Linked DNA regions of Lepisosteus oculatus. The protein of the gene in region 2 purifies or fractionates together with the protein of the main gene of each other region. This does not show direct contact. Links are inferred from orthologs where the notes say so. Each region holds a gene or a part of one and is shown on either strand. Other genes may lie near its edges.

What was found. Proteins that work in one complex are often made in the same cells at the same time.
Region 1: the proteins of smc2 (region 2) and ncapg2 purify together in Homo sapiens (affinity purification with western blotting; 4 studies listed by BioGRID and IntAct, with this or other methods). This does not show direct contact. The link is inferred for Lepisosteus oculatus from reciprocal best matches to the Homo sapiens genes SMC2 and NCAPG2.

Annotation. Positions count from the first base shown.
Region 1 is NC_090701.1:12,796,790-12,807,027, forward strand, and holds the start of ncapg2 (condensin-2 complex subunit G2), read right to left. Parts: upstream 6,765-10,238; 5' UTR 6,660-6,764; intron 5,319-6,659; 5' UTR 5,290-5,318; coding exon 5,212-5,289; intron 3,068-5,211; coding exon 2,876-3,067; intron 1,935-2,875; coding exon 1,820-1,934; intron 1,438-1,819; coding exon 1,280-1,437; intron 645-1,279; coding exon 510-644; intron 401-509; coding exon 306-400; intron 1-305. UniProt on the Homo sapiens protein: Regulatory subunit of the condensin-2 complex, a complex which establishes mitotic chromosome architecture and is involved in physical rigidity of the chromatid axis.
Region 2 is NC_090696.1:71,819,886-71,830,123, reverse strand, and holds the start of smc2 (structural maintenance of chromosomes protein 2), read left to right. Parts: upstream 1-4,845; 5' UTR 4,846-4,985; intron 4,986-5,076; 5' UTR 5,077-5,186; coding exon 5,187-5,354; intron 5,355-5,566; coding exon 5,567-5,716; intron 5,717-5,843; coding exon 5,844-5,966; intron 5,967-6,159; coding exon 6,160-6,198; intron 6,199-7,065; coding exon 7,066-7,176; intron 7,177-7,263; coding exon 7,264-7,308; intron 7,309-7,584; coding exon 7,585-7,818; intron 7,819-8,481; coding exon 8,482-8,631; intron 8,632-9,546; coding exon 9,547-9,780; intron 9,781-10,078; coding exon 10,079-10,238. UniProt on the Homo sapiens protein: Central component of the condensin complex, a complex required for conversion of interphase chromatin into mitotic-like condense chromosomes.

The DNA of each region.
Region 1 (10,238 bases), on a different chromosome or scaffold from region 2:
TTTCTTTTCCATATGTATAGTGTATTGGGCTTTTTTTAATGAAATTAGGTAAATAAATAATATTTTAATTACTGACATTGTACAATGACCACATTTAGAACATTTTGTAAAACATTTTCAGACAATGAAACACAACTAAATGAGACAAATGGAAAATCACTTTTTCTCATACCGTGGTAAAGTACTGTATAACTGTGTGTAATTATTATGCCAAAGATGAATTACTGTATACAGTATATAACGGTCTCATCAATTGGAAAATTATTTATAGGCAGTGTAATTCTAATTACTGGTGATACACTTACTTAGGGAAGAACTGAAGTTGATTTTTGATTGTTCCATGAATCATCTTTACAAAATTCACATTCCAGCTAAAAACGTAAATCAGAAACCTTCTTCCCTGTTAACAAAGACAGAAAAGAAAAGAAAACAGTGGCTGTCAACGCTCAGCGAGAAATGTTGAGACTCAGAATTGGACTTAGAAAGAGAAAATGTCTTTGCATATCTACCTCTTCCCGTTTAATGTGGTTCACACTGAGAAAACACTGCAGCAGCAGGTCACTTAAACCTTTACTGTCTTCTGAGTCAAAGCTAAAGGTCAGAAGCACTTCGTGGAGATTCCATAAGCGCTGCAAATATGTGGCCTTCGAATGCAAAAGAATATGAAGCGTCAGAACAAAATCCCCAGTAGCAAAGAAGTATTATATTAATCATTTATTCCCTTCAAATAAACGCTCAGATCTCAGTTTCACAGGATGTTAGTAAAGTCTTGCATTAAACTTATGTTTTTATTGTCACAAAATATTAGACAATGTTTTCATCAATAATAAAATCACCTAAAAATTAATCTTTTTTACAGCTAGAAAAATTAATATTGACTTTCAAGAAAAAAACATGTTCTTATACTCTTGTGTGCGTATGTGTAGGCATGTATAGTTTACCATCTCCTATAATGAATAGTAACCTATGCGTTACAAAGGGAATTCAACTTCCTAATAGGCTGCAATATATTCAGAGTTGTGCTCGGCTAAACTCTAAAACAGGAAACCAATCCAAGAATGCAATTTACTACATTGCACACTATATCACTGAGGTAGGTACAGTATCTATACAAAATGAGTTTAGTTTGAGATTGAACTGAATGTTCAAAGATTAAATGAACACCTATTACTTAAAACTGTAACACTATTTGCAAAATAAGTGTATACAGCACATGAAAGAATAAAGTGTTTGTGTCAGCCTATGAAACCGAATAAAAACCCATTCTTGTGTACATTACCGGGTTCTTTAGTGAAAGACTTCTCTCCAAAAGCCCTAGAAAAGCGCTTTTTCCCAGCTCGTCCTTTCCTTCCAGTCCTTTCTCCCACCACTGCTCACAGAAGCGCTGAACTGAAGCTTGTACCACCATTTCCGAGGGCGGCACAGCACTCAGAATCGCTGACAAAAAGTCACAACAAAAAAAACTGAGCACTCCTTATTTATATTCCTACCCCCCTCTTCCATCACCTGAAAAATAGACTAAAGGTCGTGGTAAAATTCCCAATTAAAGTGAGAAATAAAATATACTACAGGGAATCAATGAAGACTCCCCTGGCATGGTTGATAAAACATGACATTGATGATACTAACGCCAACAACCAAGAGTTGGACATTTTGGACTATTACCTTAATTTGAGAAAATCTTTCACAGGCTAATCTAGGGATATGAAATATACTGTTTCCTGCTACATCAGGACAAAAGACTGTAGTTCCCTAAATTTTAAGATGTTAAGGGTTTATTCTAAACTACGTTTACAGTGAATAATCCAGACTCACTTACCATTTAACATATGGGCACACCCAAGCAGAGCATCATAAGCATCATCATCTTGCATTACAGTTATTGAGGCAGTAGCAACAGCTGTCACAGCCTCGATTATGGCCATGGTCTGTTTCTAAGTAAAGAAGGGGAAAAACTGAAGCAAGCAGACATTTCAAATTCTTTAAGAAAAGGATGGACAAAAAAGAAGCAGCAGTTTTTTTAATGGGGTGATCTGACAGGTGATGCTGGAAGTGTTACGGATCATTTATGATTTTGATGTTCTCACTTGACTACACCTTTTCTTGAGGGGCCTGCAATACAAACTGTTTTCTATGATACAAAAATGCCTCTTTCATTTTTGAACGAGGCGCCTTATTTTCACATCAGCACAAATCTTAGGCACACCTTCTGTCTATGTTAAAGCATTTTTAATACCATGTAATCTTTCTGTACACTGGCAATATACAGTAACACCCACATATGTATAGACTTGTATACATGTATACACCATAGCTGTATACACCACGTCCTGTAAAAACCATGAAGATAATGAAATGCTGATTGGGTCAAAGAGGTGGACTATTGAGAACACCTCACGTTTTGTCATTTTGGTGTTCATTTCTCATCATGTGACACCCCTTTAAACACACCCTAGCTAAATTTTGTTTCCCCGGTTAAAAAAAAAACACAAAACAAAACTGTTAATTATGAAATAAGACAAGCTGTTTTGCACTTAACATCACGACCACCTTGCTTTATCAATTATTCCGGCAGAGCGGCACTAATTACTCATCCATGATCACGTCCAACTTGCATTTTAGTCATGACGTTCATTATGTATGTTTGGTTAGGCATTTATTTTTGACATTAGTTGATTAATGCATCTGACTATACACTTTCCAACAGAACAGAAATGTCTGTGCAAGCATCTATATATTCAGAGGGCAACACTGGGATCTAGTGAAGACAGAGAGAGTGGCAACTGCATTTTAAAGGGAGGGTATACTGTGAAATCAACCCCAATAAATGCAGGAGGGGGAAAGCAAAACCCTCATTATCTTCTTCTATACTTACTAAGGCCGGCGGAAGTTCCACTTCCATCTCATCCCCACTGTCATCGTCCAGTCCCTGGTTCCACTGCTCCACGGGGAAGTCCAACAGTGACTCGGTTAAGAGCGCTTGCAGCTTCCCCCACAGCAGCTCCTTCTGCTTTGTAGGGAGCTCCTGGATGAGCTCCGGCAGATCGAAGGGGTCCGAACTGTCCTTCTGTAAGAAGAAACGAGTAAAATACGGGTTTAAGGGTGCATCCCAATAAACTCATATACTGTAGTATCACAAAGGGAAACCAGGATACAAGAAGAAATATTAGACGGCTGTTTTCAATATACAGCCCCTAAGACCAAACCTTAAATCTCAAGAGATTTTAGAGAATTGCATTTGATAATTAAGCTACTCCTCTCCATATTGTTTTACAAAAACTGCCCAGGGTACAAGAAAGAAACCGGAAATGTTTGACCTGGAAGAGCCTGGCTTTTCAACAAAAAGAATAGAAAGTAACAAATGTAGAGTTATTATGGAGACCTTGAAAACATTTAACCCAGAGAACCAGGTGGCTAAGATCATGCAGATCATTACACTTTCCAATCAAGTAAATCAAGGGGAGTAAATCACATACCAAAAAAATCTTATGAAGATCTTCTCCAGTTTTACAGTCCCTTTCAACTTTTGTATTCATGTAAAAGTCAAAGAAGTAATGGCAAAGAACAACAGAAAATACTTTTGCCCACTTACATTTTCATTCAATTTAAACGTCATTAGCAGTAGGTATTATGTCGGTTCATTAAGAGGTTGAAGAATTTATTAGGAATATTCAGCCATATAGGTCGATTTTGATGTTACAAAGATGAACACGGCAGGCAAGCAGACATCAGACGTACGGAATGGTTAACAGTGAGCACTGGGATAAAAGTGCTTTGCTTTCCTTCCTTTTTTCCAGGTTGCCATATTCTATCACATAAATTGCTTAATATATGTTAATATATTTTGCAGCCAGACATGTTGGCTGCTCTGCTGAATAGGCTGCCCACAGTGCTATGCAGCTTCATACTGTAGATTTCATTACATGGACTGTGCTTACCCAATTGTCAGGGAAGCTACAGTACCTGTATACAGTGACACTGGAAAGAAGGATTAGGCTTTTAGGAGGAGCCAGGGAGGAATATTCTAGTTTCACATCTTCAAGAAACAGAGCATAGCAAAGATATTGTGGATTGTTATATGTTACTTTTATTTTTTTCTGTAGTTTACATTAAACAGGACAGCACGTATTGAGTAATACACTTTACATGTACAAAGCATTCATATTTCCAGTTTGGGGGAAAACTAAATAGTCTATTAATTCAAGAACTATCAACTCTGGTTCTTAAATAGCTGTATATGATATATTGTGGGATTTATGAAAGGCTATTTTCCCCAATCAGACTCAGCTCTGACTTGATTGAAAAGTATACCAATAAATTCCTTAAATTGTCCTTCTTGTTTTTCAAAGAAGATCAAATTTACAAGAGTTGAAAACGTTCACATACAGTACAGTGCAAAAGTTAAATTTAAGAAGTGGAAAAATCAAAACATCAGCAAATTTACCTTACGAGTTGACCTAAATAAGAAGGAACTCTAATGAAATAACATTAATAGATACAGAGTTAGCCCTGGACCAGGGATGAGAAACCCAGGATTGGACAATGCTCTGGAGTGCATTTCATCCAGGTAATTAGAAATTTGGACCCGTGACATGCAAAAGTTTGTTCTGTCTAGATCAGTGATTCTTAGTCCTGCTCTTGAGAGACTCCTGCCTCTTATTGTTTACATCCCAACTAAGCCCTTAACCACAAATATTAACTAGTGGTTGTAATTGATCTTCTTGCCTGTTTAGACTTTTTTCTGCACTCAACCCTTGGTTTCAAAAAGTAGCTAAAGTATATAGCACATTATTCCATCGACATCAGCATACTGACCTTTATGCACTCTCCTCAAACTGCTAATGAAGAATTTGCTATCTTTCCTCTAAAAAGCTCTTAATAGGCAAACCTTCTCTAATGAACAGCACAGGCAGGAATGACAACGTACAGTATCAGAGACTCCCACGATTCATCCTAAATCTAGATGGTTAAATTAAAGAAAAAAAAATATCAACTAGCCTGCAATTAAGAACTTAGCTGGAGATGAACCCAGGAGGCATGCTGTTTCCACAAGATCAAGAGCAAAAACCACTGGTCTGACAAACAACAATCCACTATTTCACCCTCAATCAGACTGTAGACAACCTGCTGTGTGGCTACAAAAGGAATTTCAGTTTCCAAATCTACATAATTCCAGCGTCTCTCATTGAATTAAAAGCCTGAAATACTTACATGGAGTTTTAGGAATTTCAAGAACTCCTCCACATTCTCTTTGCTGACTGAATTTAAAAATTCCTCTCGTTTTGTCATATTTAGATGCCAGCACCCCAAGTGCTTTGCTGCAAAACAGTGAAAAATAAACACAAGTTGTGTCACAATAGAAACAAAATACATGGTCCAATAAATCCAAGCTGAGAAAAACATGAAAAATGACATTTATAATATACCTATTTTAATTTTCCAACATAGAACTCTGCAAATCGACTATTAAATCCGTAAAAATGATTGCAAAATGTAAATGTACACATCTAAGCTATTTTGGACATAATATAAACTTTATCACCACCAATATTCATCTGCATTAAATGTTAAAGTATGGTTAAATTAGCATTAAATCCCGTTTTAATGCATTCTGAATAATGAGAACAACATGTTATTAGAGATGCAATTCAAGCAGCAAGCTAATGCTAACCATAACAAACCAGGGCATTATGATACAGTAGAAGTCTGTCCATCTTAATGGTTCAACAACACCCAGGTTACAATATACTGTAAGTTTGTTTAAATAATACCATGTTATTAAGAATAATTATCCTATTAAGCATAATAGGGCTTATTAATTATTATATGACTTTGATTACATTTGCACTTCATTCAATATATGGCATCCACTGGAAAATGCAGCTTTGATCGGAATAACTACAGTTATGTCACTAGTACTACAATTGAAAAAATGCATTAAAGCATCCCACAAGGCCAGTTCTGTTTTAAATGTAACGTCAGTTTTTAGGTGGCAGCACATTTCTTAGGTGTCCTAATTCCCCTCAATTTAGAGAGGTCTATTTCTATTTCAGTGACACCGTATGACAGTCGACAATGTACTACAATCTCAGGTGCTTTCAAGAGTGACTATATTTCACAGAAATACGCTGCTGATTTACGTGCAAAGGGTGATTATCATGTTTACAGTTTAAAAAATTGCTTGTTCTCTCTGTATTTTGGGACTTCATCCAGTGTAAGCTGAGGTTTGATATATCTGTTGTCAAAACATTTTTGAACAAGCACTGCTATACTGCAAAGCAGCTAATGAGGACTGATATTTGCAGTAGCGCTGTACATAAGTTCGGAAACAGAAGTAAATAGAAACCTTCCGTTTCTAGTGCTGTTTGTCCTTCTGGACAAACCCACCACTTTATCTAGATAACAGCATTTTACATAGTTCACAGCACTCGATTAACTAAAATAATACAAACCCATTATCATAGCAAAACATGTTCAGTCATGAACGTGATGTGGAAATCATATTATGGTGGAGAAATCAGCGTAACGTTGTATGATCCTTTGGATAACAAATCACACTTAAAAAAATAAATATAAAAAAATAACAATGAGCGGAACAGCACAAATCATTTATTTAATCGTCAAACGGCTCACAAAATTAAAAGAAAGGAGCTACTTACCAGCAACAATTCTTTCCAGATACTTTTGCTTTTCTCGTCCCACTACCCTAAACAGTTTACAATTGCCGCGCAAAATTGAATTGACTTCTTCAACTTCCGCGGGTACCTCGGCCGTGCGCGCCCTCGCGTGCGTTCTCGAGAGCGCGCACGTCCACACGCAAGCGCATCCTGGAGTTGGAGAGATAGGGGTCCTCTTGTGTCGGAGTAGGACTTCAGCTCTGTTGGTAGGACTGTGAAGTGAGGAATACCCACTTTTACTTTTCCACTCGCTGCAAGCTGGTGCTCGGGAGCTTTTGGAGGCAAATACAGTTTTTGCTCTCACATGTATGCAACGTATAGGGTCAAAATTTTAATATTTTGTCATTTTCCCGACAACAAAGATACATTATATTTAATACAATACAGTCATTAGTTAATTTAAATTTTAACCTCGTTAAAAAAATACATTAAAACATATTTTTGATAGGTTTGGAGCACAATTTTGAATTTCTAGTGAATCCAGAAATTCAAAGGCAATTATAAACCCTACATTTGCTCCGAATATGGCACTAATGTTATAAAACTATGCAGACATTCACATTACAATGTATTAACAAGAGCATTTGGAAGCGAATGTGATTTCTGGTAAAATCGTACTTCGGAGTGCAATGCATAAATAGTTTGGTTGGTGTCTCATTTGCATGATTTAAAATGTTGCATCTCCATGGAGTACATGAACAATTTCATGGTGCAGCTTCTATATATTTCACAGGTGACTCTACATCATGCCATGGCGCATGAAGTTAATATCGACAGCTCCTCGCTGAATTCAGTTTATCCTCCATAAATCTGCTTTTGTTAGAAGGACTTAGTGTTCAAAATAACCCCAAAAGACTGATAAAAGACATACAGTTTAATTAGCACTATTGTTCAACAAGGGAGACAGTACTTCTGTGGCTATACAGTAGGTGGATGTCACATGGAAGGAGTCACTGTGATATAAGGTCATGTCATCCACAAACAACTTGTTCATGTTCATGGACACCCTGTGGCGTCCATTGGGACAAAAAAAAGGAAAGCATTTCTTTTTCTGTTCCCATGTTGTAATGCCTTTTGCAGAGATAAATGTGTCCATGCTAACTAGCAGATAAGGCTATCTGCTACACCGCTGGCATGAACTGTCTCTGCGGAGTGAATAGGCAAACGAGTCTCTTCGGTGTGGCATGCAAATCAACCTCCATTAAACATCTGGGGGATTATTTCGAGTAAAAAAAAGTCAGCAGCACAGCAATGCAGTCAGCTGAAATGGCTGCACCACAACAGAGACCATGCCCTAAACACCTACATCTGAAAAGCACAATATTTGTGCTTAAATTAGGTAGAGTTAGGCTACCAAAACTTAGAGGCCCAACGAAATCCATCCTCAATCGGACTCCTTGGCCATGTACACCTCTAAAAGAGATTGGTAATATCCATCCATCCATTTTCTTACTGAGTCTTCCAATTCTGGGTCATAGGGGAGCCAGAGCCTATGGGTGCAAGGCAGAGTACAACTGCAGAGTAATGGGTAATGATCAAATTAATTTCTTCCTTGTGTTCAGGTGGAAGTGAAATGGGGATGAGTAGTGCATTGCTGCCTCAGAGCTCTTGGGTCCAGCTTGAACACCTTCTGTGTGGAATCTGCACGTTTCTGCCCATGGGCTGATGACCATCTAATCCAATCTCATTTCATTTTATTCTGGGCATCCAGCATACTTTATGAATCTGCCTAAAGTCATGTGAACTATTAATACGCAGATACGTCAATGAAGTGTGATAGTGAAAGTATGATACAGTACATGTACAGAAGAGAAGTTATGCACTGTATGTCATTACAATAAATCAGTACATGTTTTTATTAACATTTAAAAAAAAGGTTGATAATTTCCATAATGCCTCTGTATCACAGATCAGAGTCACAAATGTATTTATAGTGTATCCCGAGAGATTTCTTACTATTAAACATTCTCGCAATACACAGACAAATGTGTACATATGGAGATAGACAGCCAAAACAAATAAATATATCAGAATCTTGTACGATATACTTAAGTGTTTTAAGGATTCCTGCAAATGCCCAGCAGTGCTTGCACCTGAACTAGGGTAATTTTGCAGAACTAACTTCAAAGGAAAATGAAGTAGGACAATCTGTCCAGAAGGTAAAACGGGTTGACAATTTTATCCACTAGATGTCAGTGTAATCACACAGACATGCCTTTGAAAATTGTGTATTAGTCTGACTCAACACAGCAGCTAGAGCTTTTCCTATTAAGTCATTATTTTAGTACACTTAATGTACTTTAGAAATGTTTGGGAAAAAAGCAATGTCTCAGCTTTCAAATTATTTGTGGGGAAATTTTTCTTTGTGACCTTAGTGATTTACACTGATTTTACAGGCTTTGAGATGTTTTCTGTCTTTAAAATACTGTATCTTCAATTCATATGCAGTATAATGGATATATTTTTTATCTTGCTTCCCATTTTCAGAATTCAGATATTTTAGTCCCTCTTTACTAAAAGAATGCCACAATTCCATAACAGTTCCATAAAAAAGTAACTTAATGTTACACGATTTGCGTGGAGAAGAGTTTCTCTAAAATCTTTGACTTAAAAGAATATAGTTTTGTATTGACTTTCAGGACTAAAAGTAAAGCAGAATGAAGCACTTATTTTCGCAACGGATTTTTGGGACTAAAAAAAAATCTAGATCTGTTTTGACCCATTTTCCATCCTAGGGCTTTTCCACCTATTCTCAGACACATCTGTTAATCCCTGGATTAGTTCTTTTGCTATTGCCATAATATTCTTGAAACAGCCGTGTCACTTCCGTTATTTTAGGAGCCCAACTGAATGAATCTGTGAAACATCATACATCAAAAATCATACAGAATCTCCCTAGTGCACACTTTAGCAGAATCATCTGTGATCCATTTCCTGGTATCTTGAATTACAAAGTCCTGAAAGACACTAAAGCACCTCACCTGAATAATGTGATTGCCCTGTTTTCATGCCTACTGTAAATACCAGCTTTTTGTATGGCTCCATTTTTCTAGTCTCTCCATTGGCCACCTATTGCTGCACGGATCCAAAACCTAACCATTATGCTCCCCCACATACTGTGTCTCTAACATCTTCTGTAACCCCTTGTTGTTTCCCACTGTTTTTCTCCTACCTCCCTCCTCAGTGGTGGAAGGAGTTACACAGAGAAATGGGAACTGCTCAGTCATTGAACACTTTTTGGGTTTTTGCAAAAGACTAAGCTTTAGAGCTAGACGCAGCTGACCTCTCAGCTCTCAACTACATCTTTCAGTAATTCTTACACTGTGTTGCACTATATACTGTACACTATGCAGATGGAGCACTCACCATCACCTTAATGGCACTCTGTATTCTTTAAAAGTGGCTTCTCAAAGTGCTTTTCAGTAAGAAAAAAGCACATAATGAAATGAAACAGCAGAATTACACAATTACAATGAGGGTTTGGCAAACATTAGAAAAGCCATGGTACAGAAATAGAACCAGTTAAATAAAAGCCCTTCTAAAGAATGAGGTTTTGAAGAT
Region 2 (10,238 bases):
TTTGTCTGTGTGTCTCATGGAGAGCAAGCTGGGGTATGCGAGAAGTCAAATTCCTAATACAAGAAATTGTATGAGGCAAATAAAGTGATCTCTCAATAGCGCTAGTGTCCTGGGTTTAATTCCTGCCTGGTAGTCCTCTGGGAGGCATGTTCTCCCTGTGCCTGTGTGGTTTTCTCCAGGTCTTCCTGTTCGCTTCCACCTCCCAGAGAGATTCTGATTAGGTTTGTTGGTGTCTCTACAGTATGTCAGGGGTTGTCAAGTCATGTCTGTGAGAGTCAGTGTCTCTGCAGGGGTTTCCATGTTTCCATGTTCCCCAACAAAACAAAACAACAAAACGGAAGCTTGTCTGGTTGTTGAGAGAGGGTATGGGGGTGGGTAGTAGACACCTGTGGTCACAACGTTATAGAAAAGATATTATGATATTGCTTCTCTGGAATCAGTTCAGAGAAGAGCAACCAGAACCCTTTTATACTTTAACAGAGAAAACTACAAGGAGGCCCTATACAAGTGTTCAAGGTCCTCAGTGGCACTGGCAGAATTAACCCAGTGGATTCTTCAGAATGAACAGTGAAATGCATTCTCCAGGTGTGCCTTCTTTTATCTCCCTCCAGTGCTCAGTATTAGCATTTGGATGCCTGAGGGTATAGGCCTCATCCCCGACATCGCCTGACCTCTCCCCGTTATCCCTGGATATGTACAGTATGTTCGTGTTTTCCCACTCACAAGGATTTGAACCTTGTGTCGTCTCAGGCTGGGTCTCCCGGTTTTGGACTCATGGATTGTGCCCTGACCCTCCTTCGGACCTGCTTGGATTTGGACGCCAGTCTTTGTTTCCCTGCTCACCATTTCACGAACTGTCACAGTTACTTTGTTGCACTATTAAACCACTGTGTGTTTTCCCCGAACTACAGTACGTCTCCCGCTTCCTTCAGCTCTTGCCGCTTCACAAGGAGTCTAAACACAACACCCGAGACGGACTACGGAGCCAATCTGTAACAAAGAGGTGTTTAGATCTGCTTCTCCGGTAATGTAACACCCAAAGGTACACATTTATGAAGTGAATCACCACACTTTCTCAGGCCATCTCATGATGAAAATGTTACTTAACATTAGTTTCACAGTATTCACAGCAACATAAATATTCCTAAATGGAAACTTCATCCCAACAATGCAGATTTTCCTGGAATGTTTAGATATTTAGTTGTATTTTGGGTTGTTGGGTCAAATATTGTGCATGCAATAATCCTAAATTCACCCAGGTGTGTTAATATTGAAAAGAAAAGATTATACTTGAACAACAGAGAAGCAAGTACATTTTTGTGAATTTAAATGATTCTGTTTAATTACCCATAATTTGTGTAAGGCAGGCAGAAGAAAACATATAAGTGAAGTTAAATGAACAGATGGAACTTTAAAAAATGTGTTAATCAGTGTGGTTTTGCAAAACATCCACATTGTCTACATTTAATCCACAGTACTATACTGTATTAAAGAGCTTCTAAATGAAAACATCAGATCAAAACTGGTTAATTCATTCACACATTTTTTATATTTTTTCAAAATGCTAAAATGTGTCATAGAAACAAAATAAAAATGGGTATTAGTACGTTTCAAATGAGGCAGTGTCAGAAATTCAGCAGATTTAAACAGTCTTGTAGCAGTATTTTATTCAATAAGGTCTGACTCTTAACTTTACTTCCAACCAGATACAATCTATTAACTGAGTCACAGCAAAGTTTTTTGCAATTTCCTTTTGCAAAACCATCTTAAATTAAATTAGGAAGATTTAAAAAAAAAAAGCAGTTTCTCATTTGCACCTTAACTGTTGCAAAGACTGTTGAGTGTTTCTGCTGCTTACACTGATCCACTAGCTTGGTGAGATGTGACAGGACAATTCATTTATGGTGCTCTACAGTATGTTAATCACAATGGCTGCCTGAATAAGTTGGTCTGCAAAATGTAAATGACCATTGTCTAAGAATTGATATACCAAATGACTCGAGACATGGAGGATTTAATTACATGCGGATCTTCTTCAAAAGTGTACTTCACAGACTGCACCAATTCTTTCTAGCTTCCCACTGAGTGATTGCATGGTTGGAGAGACAAGACCTACTGTATAATAACAGCTCCTCTGCTACAAAAAGCTTTCGACTAATTAACTCTAAACTTTATAGGTACAGTATAACACTAGTAACAGGATTTGTTTATGCAGGATGAACAAAGGAGAAAATAAAGTACAGTACCTGCATAAGTCAAGGTGGCTGCCAGACAATTGCTTCCGTTATTTAGTCCTGTATAAACAACATTACCTTGAAACTTAGACATTCAACACCAATTAAACAGTGACAAGGAAACAGCCAAAGACACAAACTGCTTCTGCACTCCAAGTGTTTGGTCCTTTCACTCTACAGTGTATGGTTTTAAACATTTGTGCCACCAGGATGAAATTTGGCAAAATAGGGAAATCGAGATGACTGTCTGGTTGCCAGTTCTTTTTCTGATTTATTTTTCTTTTCCTCCAAATTCCTGATTTCTTGGGAAGAGTAGGACATACAGTAACCTAGGTGCACAGAAGGAAAAGGCTCTATGGACAGCAACTCATAACCTCTAAGAAGGGGTAAACTACAGACCCGCACCAGGCTCGGGGTACCCTTCTTAGGAGGTCAGAAATATAACGGTGTGGTACTCCCTTCTGGGCCTTAAAAAACAAGAGTGATATCTTGGCATCTATATGAAATTCAACAGGAATGTCAAGACAGAGGGTTTGACAAAGTCAGACCCAGTCAGTACTCAGTCAGTTGCTGTGTTCTGAACCCACTGAATTTTGGCACTGACAGAACTTAATATAACTGAGCAACGTTACAAAGACAAAAGAAAGCCGTCCTGGTGATGCGTTGGATATTCTCTTCAGAAATTAAAGTAGGGTAAAAAAAATGTCACATATATGTCGTATTAACATATCAGTCACCATAAATTGCCATGCGTAGATCATAGTTGCTCAGTTTATCTCAGTTGATGCAGACCAATAGAAAACGGCCAAATGACAAATAATCATTAAGACACAATACAAAGTACCCAGTTGAAAATGATAAAGAAAGTTATCAAGGAGAGTAAAGTTATATGTATACATTATAGAAATAGAAATTTAAGAAGTCAATAGTGTTCAGTATTGTTATCAATGCTGGACAAAGAATATTGCTGCTCTAGAGATTAAAGAATAAACTTAGTCATTTCCTGTTTTAAAATGCATAACGCAGACAGATGGAAAATGAAATTAGTTTTCCCAACAGGGTAATTGTGCACCAGAAAACATCACTGTAAGATCCGGTTTGATTCCCTTGTAAGACATTTAACAAAACAGAATCAATTTCTACGAAAGAATAATATGTGCTACACAACTGTAATGTACTGCTGCCACACAGTGGCTGTTTTCTTCTGTATTTCATGTGCCAACAGATTTCTGTAATAAAGTCTGCGACTGTAAAACACTTGCAAAGATTAAACAAAACCTGTAGCTTGGATGAAAGGAGCAATGTACTCACACTAGTGAACCATTTGAGGAAAAGTGCCTTTTTTAAAATTAAGGTTCTAGGATAAGGATTTATATTGTAATATATAATTAGCTTATCGTATTTTGCACAGACTGAAAATGATACTGAACAGCTTAAACATTAAGATCATTACAATTAAATATCATTACAGTTCACATAACCCCGTGCAGAACATTGAACCTTTACAATAGAATGGAAAAAATGCCCACATACAGCCAACATTAAAGTACATAGCAAAGGATACGCCCCTGCGCATTACAGTGATGTTGGCCGCCCGGGCTAAAGAAAGTCTTCTTTAGCTCAGCCGGCAAGACCCGGGTTCCAGCCCATGTGAGGGCAGAAGCCCGAGAACCCGAATTCAATATTAAAAAAACGTTAATCTTAATACAGGTAAATAATATTAACAAAAACAAGAAAGGAAACTGGTCCCATGTTGGCTCCAATCGTCGTCTACACCCAACCTTGATGAGCACGAGTAATCGGAGCCAAAATGGCACAGGGAGGACTGCAGTTTCCACGTTGTAAACGGTGAACGCCACTGAATGACATCAACCACCTGTACGGGACTGATATAGATATTTAATACGAATACGGTATAAAAATGTTCACTCATTTCTTCATTTCACTGGAACCTAAACTGAAATACAGGTGATGTTAATGTCAGGCTGAGAAATATGCGCAGACGAGGTAGAAATTAGGGTAACAAAGGTTTCCCTTAACAGCCAGGGGTGCGGATCCTTCAGAGAAATGAGGACTTTTCCCCCTTAACCACAACCGTAGAGCAAACTGAGGTATTTGAAGCGGCATGTCTTTTTGCCTTAACTGAAACAGAGAAGTGCTTCGAACAAAAATGTGTTTGTCCTTATTGTGCCGCATTACAACAATTATGTATGTATCGTACTCCGCAGCTATATTATATATTTTTAACTAAATTACAGAGAATTCCTTTAAAGCTGCCCCCCAATCATATTATGCAAATAAACATGCCATTTATTGTTTAAAACCATACGACATTAACAAAGTAGCATAATAGAAGCACTATATATAACTGATCGGTTTCTCTCTTTTCTGTTTTCAAAGCGCTACGCAGGCGGGACAATCAACTCAAAACAACCAATCAGCAGTGACTCTTCCTACGCCAACCTGACGTCAAATATTTTCCTTTTAGCTGGCAAAATAATGCCTGAATGAAACAATGGTTGAATTTCAATTTTTAAAAAAAAATTTTTTTAGGAAGACACAGTATAATGAAAAAAATATATATCTCTAACTTAATACATTAAAGGAATCAAACCTGTAATACTACACCGCTTTTCAAATTATTTCAGGCGCATCGAACACCAAAGAGGACCAGCGCTGCCTGCCGCCAAAATTCAAGTTCGCTGAACACAGGAAGAGTAAGGGAACAGTGGCGTTTTGTTATTGTGTGAGGTATGTATTCACGTTTTGGGTAAAAATAAACGCAGTTTTGAAAGCGAATGTATAACAGCAACCGTTTATGCCTTTTTTCACCTCATCCCAGGTAATCGAGAGCTGAAACAAGGCTTCGGGAGGTGACACTAGAATACAACTTTCCTGTAGCTGCGGATGAAGTTCATCGGGGAGTTGAATTTGTAAAACGTTGAAACGAAGATGTACATCAAATCTATCATCTTAGAAGGCTTCAAATCCTACGCCCAGAGAACGGAGATCAATGGCTTTGACCCGTTGTTCAACGCTATCACCGGTCTGAACGGCAGTGGCAAGTCCAATATCCTGGACTCCATCTGTTTCCTGCTCGGGATTTCCAACCTGACTCAGGTAGCGCCGGGTGCCCGTACGCTTTGCACTAGCTTGTGAGCAGTGCTAGTTTTTACTGTGCGGTTCACTTTTTTTTTTCGGTGTGTTCCCCCCCACCCCGATGCAGTATGAATTCGTGTTTTATGCTAGTCCCTAGGCATGCGGGGGGAAACCGGGAGTACGTTATATATTATAAATGTCACCGAAAGATCATCCCTGGAAATCTCGTTTAGGTGCGAGCGTCCAATCTTCAGGATCTGGTCTACAAAAACGGTCAAGCTGGGATCACTAAGGCCTCTGTTTCCATTACGTTTGACAACTCTGACAAGAAGCAAAGTCCCCTTGGGTTTGAGACCCACGACGAAATCACTGTTACGCGTCAGGTATTTGTTTTTATCATTAGCCCGGACTGCAGTTCTGGTATGTTTCATTTTTTTTTCAGAATGCATTGCATTCGTTTAATAAATGAGATTTGTATTGAGTGCTTTTTCCCCCCCGTCTATTTTAAAGGTGGTCATTGGTGGGAGAAACAAATACCTCATAAATGGGGTAAATGCCAACAACAACCGGGTACAAGACTTGTTCTGCTCCGTTGGGCTCAATGTCAACAATCCTCATTTTCTGATTATGCAGGTGAGCATAATTGATAGCTATACCTGTACGTCCCTGTTATGAATCGTTTTGAATTTTATCTCAAGACCTGCTTTGAAGGATGAATTTTTAACGCGCAATTTCTTAACATGTGCGCGGAATTGCTTGTAAACGCATAGTTTGTGTTAAGGTATGTTTGTGTCGAGTAACTTGGGACCACTTTTGATTTTTTCAGGGCAGAATTACGAAAGTTTTGAACATGAAACCCCAGGAGGTAAGTCAGCTCTGCTGCTTTCTTATGCATCTCTTCCCTTCAGGGAATCAGAATGAGCTCCACCATCTTTTTTTTCCTCTGAGCAGAAATCTGCACGTTAAAATATTTCACAGGAGAGACCCATGAGAAAACAACCCACAAATATTTGTTATTGTACCTTAACATTTCTGGACAGAAGACAGTGTTGTTTATGAAAGTGTAACTAAATAAACATTTCAGTTAATCTAATGTACTGTAACCGGATAGCAGCATTTTATACTGATTTAGGTAGAGTTTTGCATTAATTGTTCTGTAGGTCTGTAGGAACTGAACTGATGTCAATGAGGAATTAAAGTATTTTTATGTTTGAAAACGCCATAAAAAATGGAAAAAAGGAAATAGCATTCTTGAACCCAGTTTATAACTTTTCAGAAAGTAACAAATCCCCAAGTGTGTATTTTATAAATGAATAGGAGACTGGAGGCGATAGTGTGTTATTGGTGTTCTATTTAGCTTGTCACATGATGCCCTCAAACTTGCCTTGGATTTTTTTCGTTTTTAAAACCCCTAAAATGACTAAATAAAAAATTAAGCGAGCCCCTTTTTGCTAATATCTTATCTGCTGAGACTTTTCCCTCCTGAGATAGTTATTCAACACATACAGTACAATATTGACAGGAAGTTGTAGTTTAATGATATCAAAAGTATATACCCAGAGGGCACAAAACTGGTTTTGCTAAACTAAACTGGGGATGAAGTAAAGACGATTGCCAATAAGATTATAAATAGAGATTGTGGCTATAAATGAACATTGAAAACATGGAATATGGTGTGATGTAGTACTGTAGTACCCCTAGTCTTTGGGATTGATGAGTATTCTTTATTTAGATCCTGGCAATGATTGAAGAAGCAGCAGGCACCAGGATGTATGAGATCAAAAAGATGGGTGCGCAGAAAACTATTGAAAAGAAGGAGGGCAAGCTAAAAGAGATCCAGACGGTACGGTATCATTGTCAGTGTGCAGAGCTTCATTTCATTCTGGCTGAATGGTAACAGTAATAACCACATATTTGTGTTTTTCGACAGGTGTTAAGAGAAGAGATCACACCAACTCTAGAGAAGCTGAAGGAGGTAAGTCCTACCAGGTTATGGGGTGGTCCAGAATTGTGTTTTTCCCATTGGTAGGTTGTAATCTGTAGCACTCCTGGTGGTTTGTTTATTTTTCTAGGTATTTCTTAAAACGCGGATCTTTTAAAAATGACAACAGTGAAAGAAGTTTGGAATCATTGATGAATCATTATGCCCATTTGTATATGTTTTCACAACAGGAAAAAAAGTGGCTGTTTTGAAAAAGACAAGTTAAGAGGTACATGGCCTGAGACCCACTTCTAAGCCTTTGTTTCGTAGGAACGATCATCGTACTTTGAGTATCAGAAGGTGTTGAAGGAAATGGAGCATCTTACTCGCCTGTATGTGGCCTATCAATTTGTGTGCGCCGAGGAAACCAAAGCCAAGTCGGCTGCAGAGCTGAAGGTGCTGGAGGATGGCACAGTCAAGCTGCGGGAGAAGATGGCAGACAATGAGAAGAAAGTGAAGGAGCTCTCTCAGGAAATTGCTCGGCTGGAGGACAAGAGAGACCAGGTGCTGTAGCTCACTCTTCGCTTTTTGATTGTTCGTTTTGGAGTATAAAGAGAGACTCATGGCTTTTAGGAGAGCAAAATCCTTATGGAAACTCGGGTTGTGTGGGCCAATGTTTTCTTTTATAAGTCCTTCCTGATAGGAAAATATTTTATGCGGTGCTTTGCAGGAAATAAGTTAAAAATTGCTCAGAACTGAAATATTGTATATACAGTAGGAGCTGAAGTGTGGGCAGCACTGTGGTTAGCTTCGGTGCCTCGCAGTGCTGAGGCCCTGGACTCAATTCCAGACCTGGGGTGCTATCTGCTTGGAGGTTGTTCTCCCTGCATTTATGTGGGTTTCTTCCAGATGCTCCGGTTTCCTCCCACTGTCCAAAGACATACTGGTAGGTTAACTGGTTTCTGTGGAAATTGGCCCTGGCGTGAGTCTGTTTCTGTGTTTGTCTGTGCCCCACAATGGACTGAGCTCCCATCCACATCCTGCCTTGCGCCGGTGGCTTGCCGGTATAGACCGTGGCGACCTCGCATTGGATAAAGCTGTTAGAAAATGGATGAATGGACGTTATATCGTTTCGCACAAATATGAGTCTCATTGGATACATGTGCACTTTGACGTCTCGGTCAGCTTCTGAAAGCGTTCCTTTCCTGTGAATGGTGCTGCGTCTAGGACGTGGGTGGCGTGCTGAAGTCCCTGCAGGACGCCCTGTCTGAGGTTCAGAGAGTGGATGCCAAAACCCAGAGTGCTTTGGATCTGAAGAAACAGAACCTTAAGGGGGAGGAGAAGAGACGCAAAGAACTGGTGAAAAGCATGGAAGAGGTAAAGCACAAAAAACAGGACACGCGGTCAAGCGTGGAAATCTGATTCCTTTGAGCCGAAAGATGTTCTTTTGAAACTGTCGTGTGCAGTCTGTAAACCGGCACTGCATGGTATGAGTCTACTTTTCAAGGATACATTTTTTTGTCAATATTAAGTCTCAACCTGAACCACTCGTTTATTAAAAAACCCATGTACCTTACTCAAGAAAACTTAAGTGGGAATGTCACTGGGTACTATAAGCTTTTGTAAAAAAAGGCCCCAGGACTTTGCTTTTGTAGCCTGTAATTCAGAAAAAAATGAGTTTGGCACACTAAATGAAAATCACAGTTCCGTATTTTTGGGTTGAATTGGAATACATTTATGATTTTTGCTTTTAAAATAAAGCATTTTCCTCTCGATTAGTAACTATCAACTTTTGATTTGAGGTTCGTGGTTCAAAATGAATAGTTCTATTTGTAGAGTGTTCCCAACTTAATCGGCTGTAGGTACAAACACCCTCTCAGTCATGTGGTATTTTCTATCAATGTCTGAATTAATTTCAAAGTCTACTTTAAAGAATGACATGATCACTCAACCATGTAGATGATTGCCAGTATTCCTCAGTGATATCTGTCTCTTCTGCAGTATGTGGAGACCTTTTACATTTGAAATAGTTTACCATCAAGATTTTCTGCGGTTTTCAGAAATTGATAACGCACTCATTAGGCCAGTTATAATATCAGTGGTCTGTTTTTCGACTAGTCCTCAATCGAAACTCAAATTACGTTTCACTTTGACCACAGGGAAGAAAATCTCCCTGTGAGTTAGAATCCAGAGGTCTCGAACCAAGTCCGTTGTTACTTTCTGTCCCTTAAGCACATAAAAAAAATAATAAATTGGCAGGACCTAACTGTTCCCAGCTTTCCTCACCCTCAGGATCAAAAGGTCTTGGCGGCAAAGGAGAGCGAGGCGAAGAAGATCACCGAGAAGCTCCGTGCCATCCAGGAGGAGGGCCGGAAGGACGCGGAGGCCCTCGCCGCCGCCCAGCAGCACTTCAACGCCGTGTCCGCCGGCCTGTCCGGCAGCGAGGACGGGGCGGCGGCCACGCTGGCGGGGCAGATGATGACCTGCAAAAACGACATGAGCAAAGCCGACACCGAGGCCAAACAGGTACCACTGTCATCGCTCCGGGGGCTGGGGGGTTGGATCAGGAGTGTCCGGTAAGTTGAACGCATAGGCTAAAGCAGGCAACTCCCCATTTATTATTGCTGCCCATTTCTTCATATTTCAGTTGTGACGTTGTACGCTAAGACACTATCTAGCAGTAATACATGTGAACATATTGTAATTTAGTATCAAATCAACGGAATGCTTTCCAGGTGTGAAGATAAACAACCATTGTTTTATGTGAATGTAGAAGGTTTTTGACGCTGTGTTTTTATGGCATTCTTATTTTTGTTGACTAAAGGCACAGATGAAGCTTAAACATGCCCAGCAAGAGCTGAAGACTAAACAAGCAGAAGCTAAAAAGATGGATAGCGGATATAAAAAGGACCAGGATGCTTTTGAGGCTGTGAAGAAAAACAAAGAAAAACTGGAAGCTGAGTTGAAGAAGCTGAACTATGAAG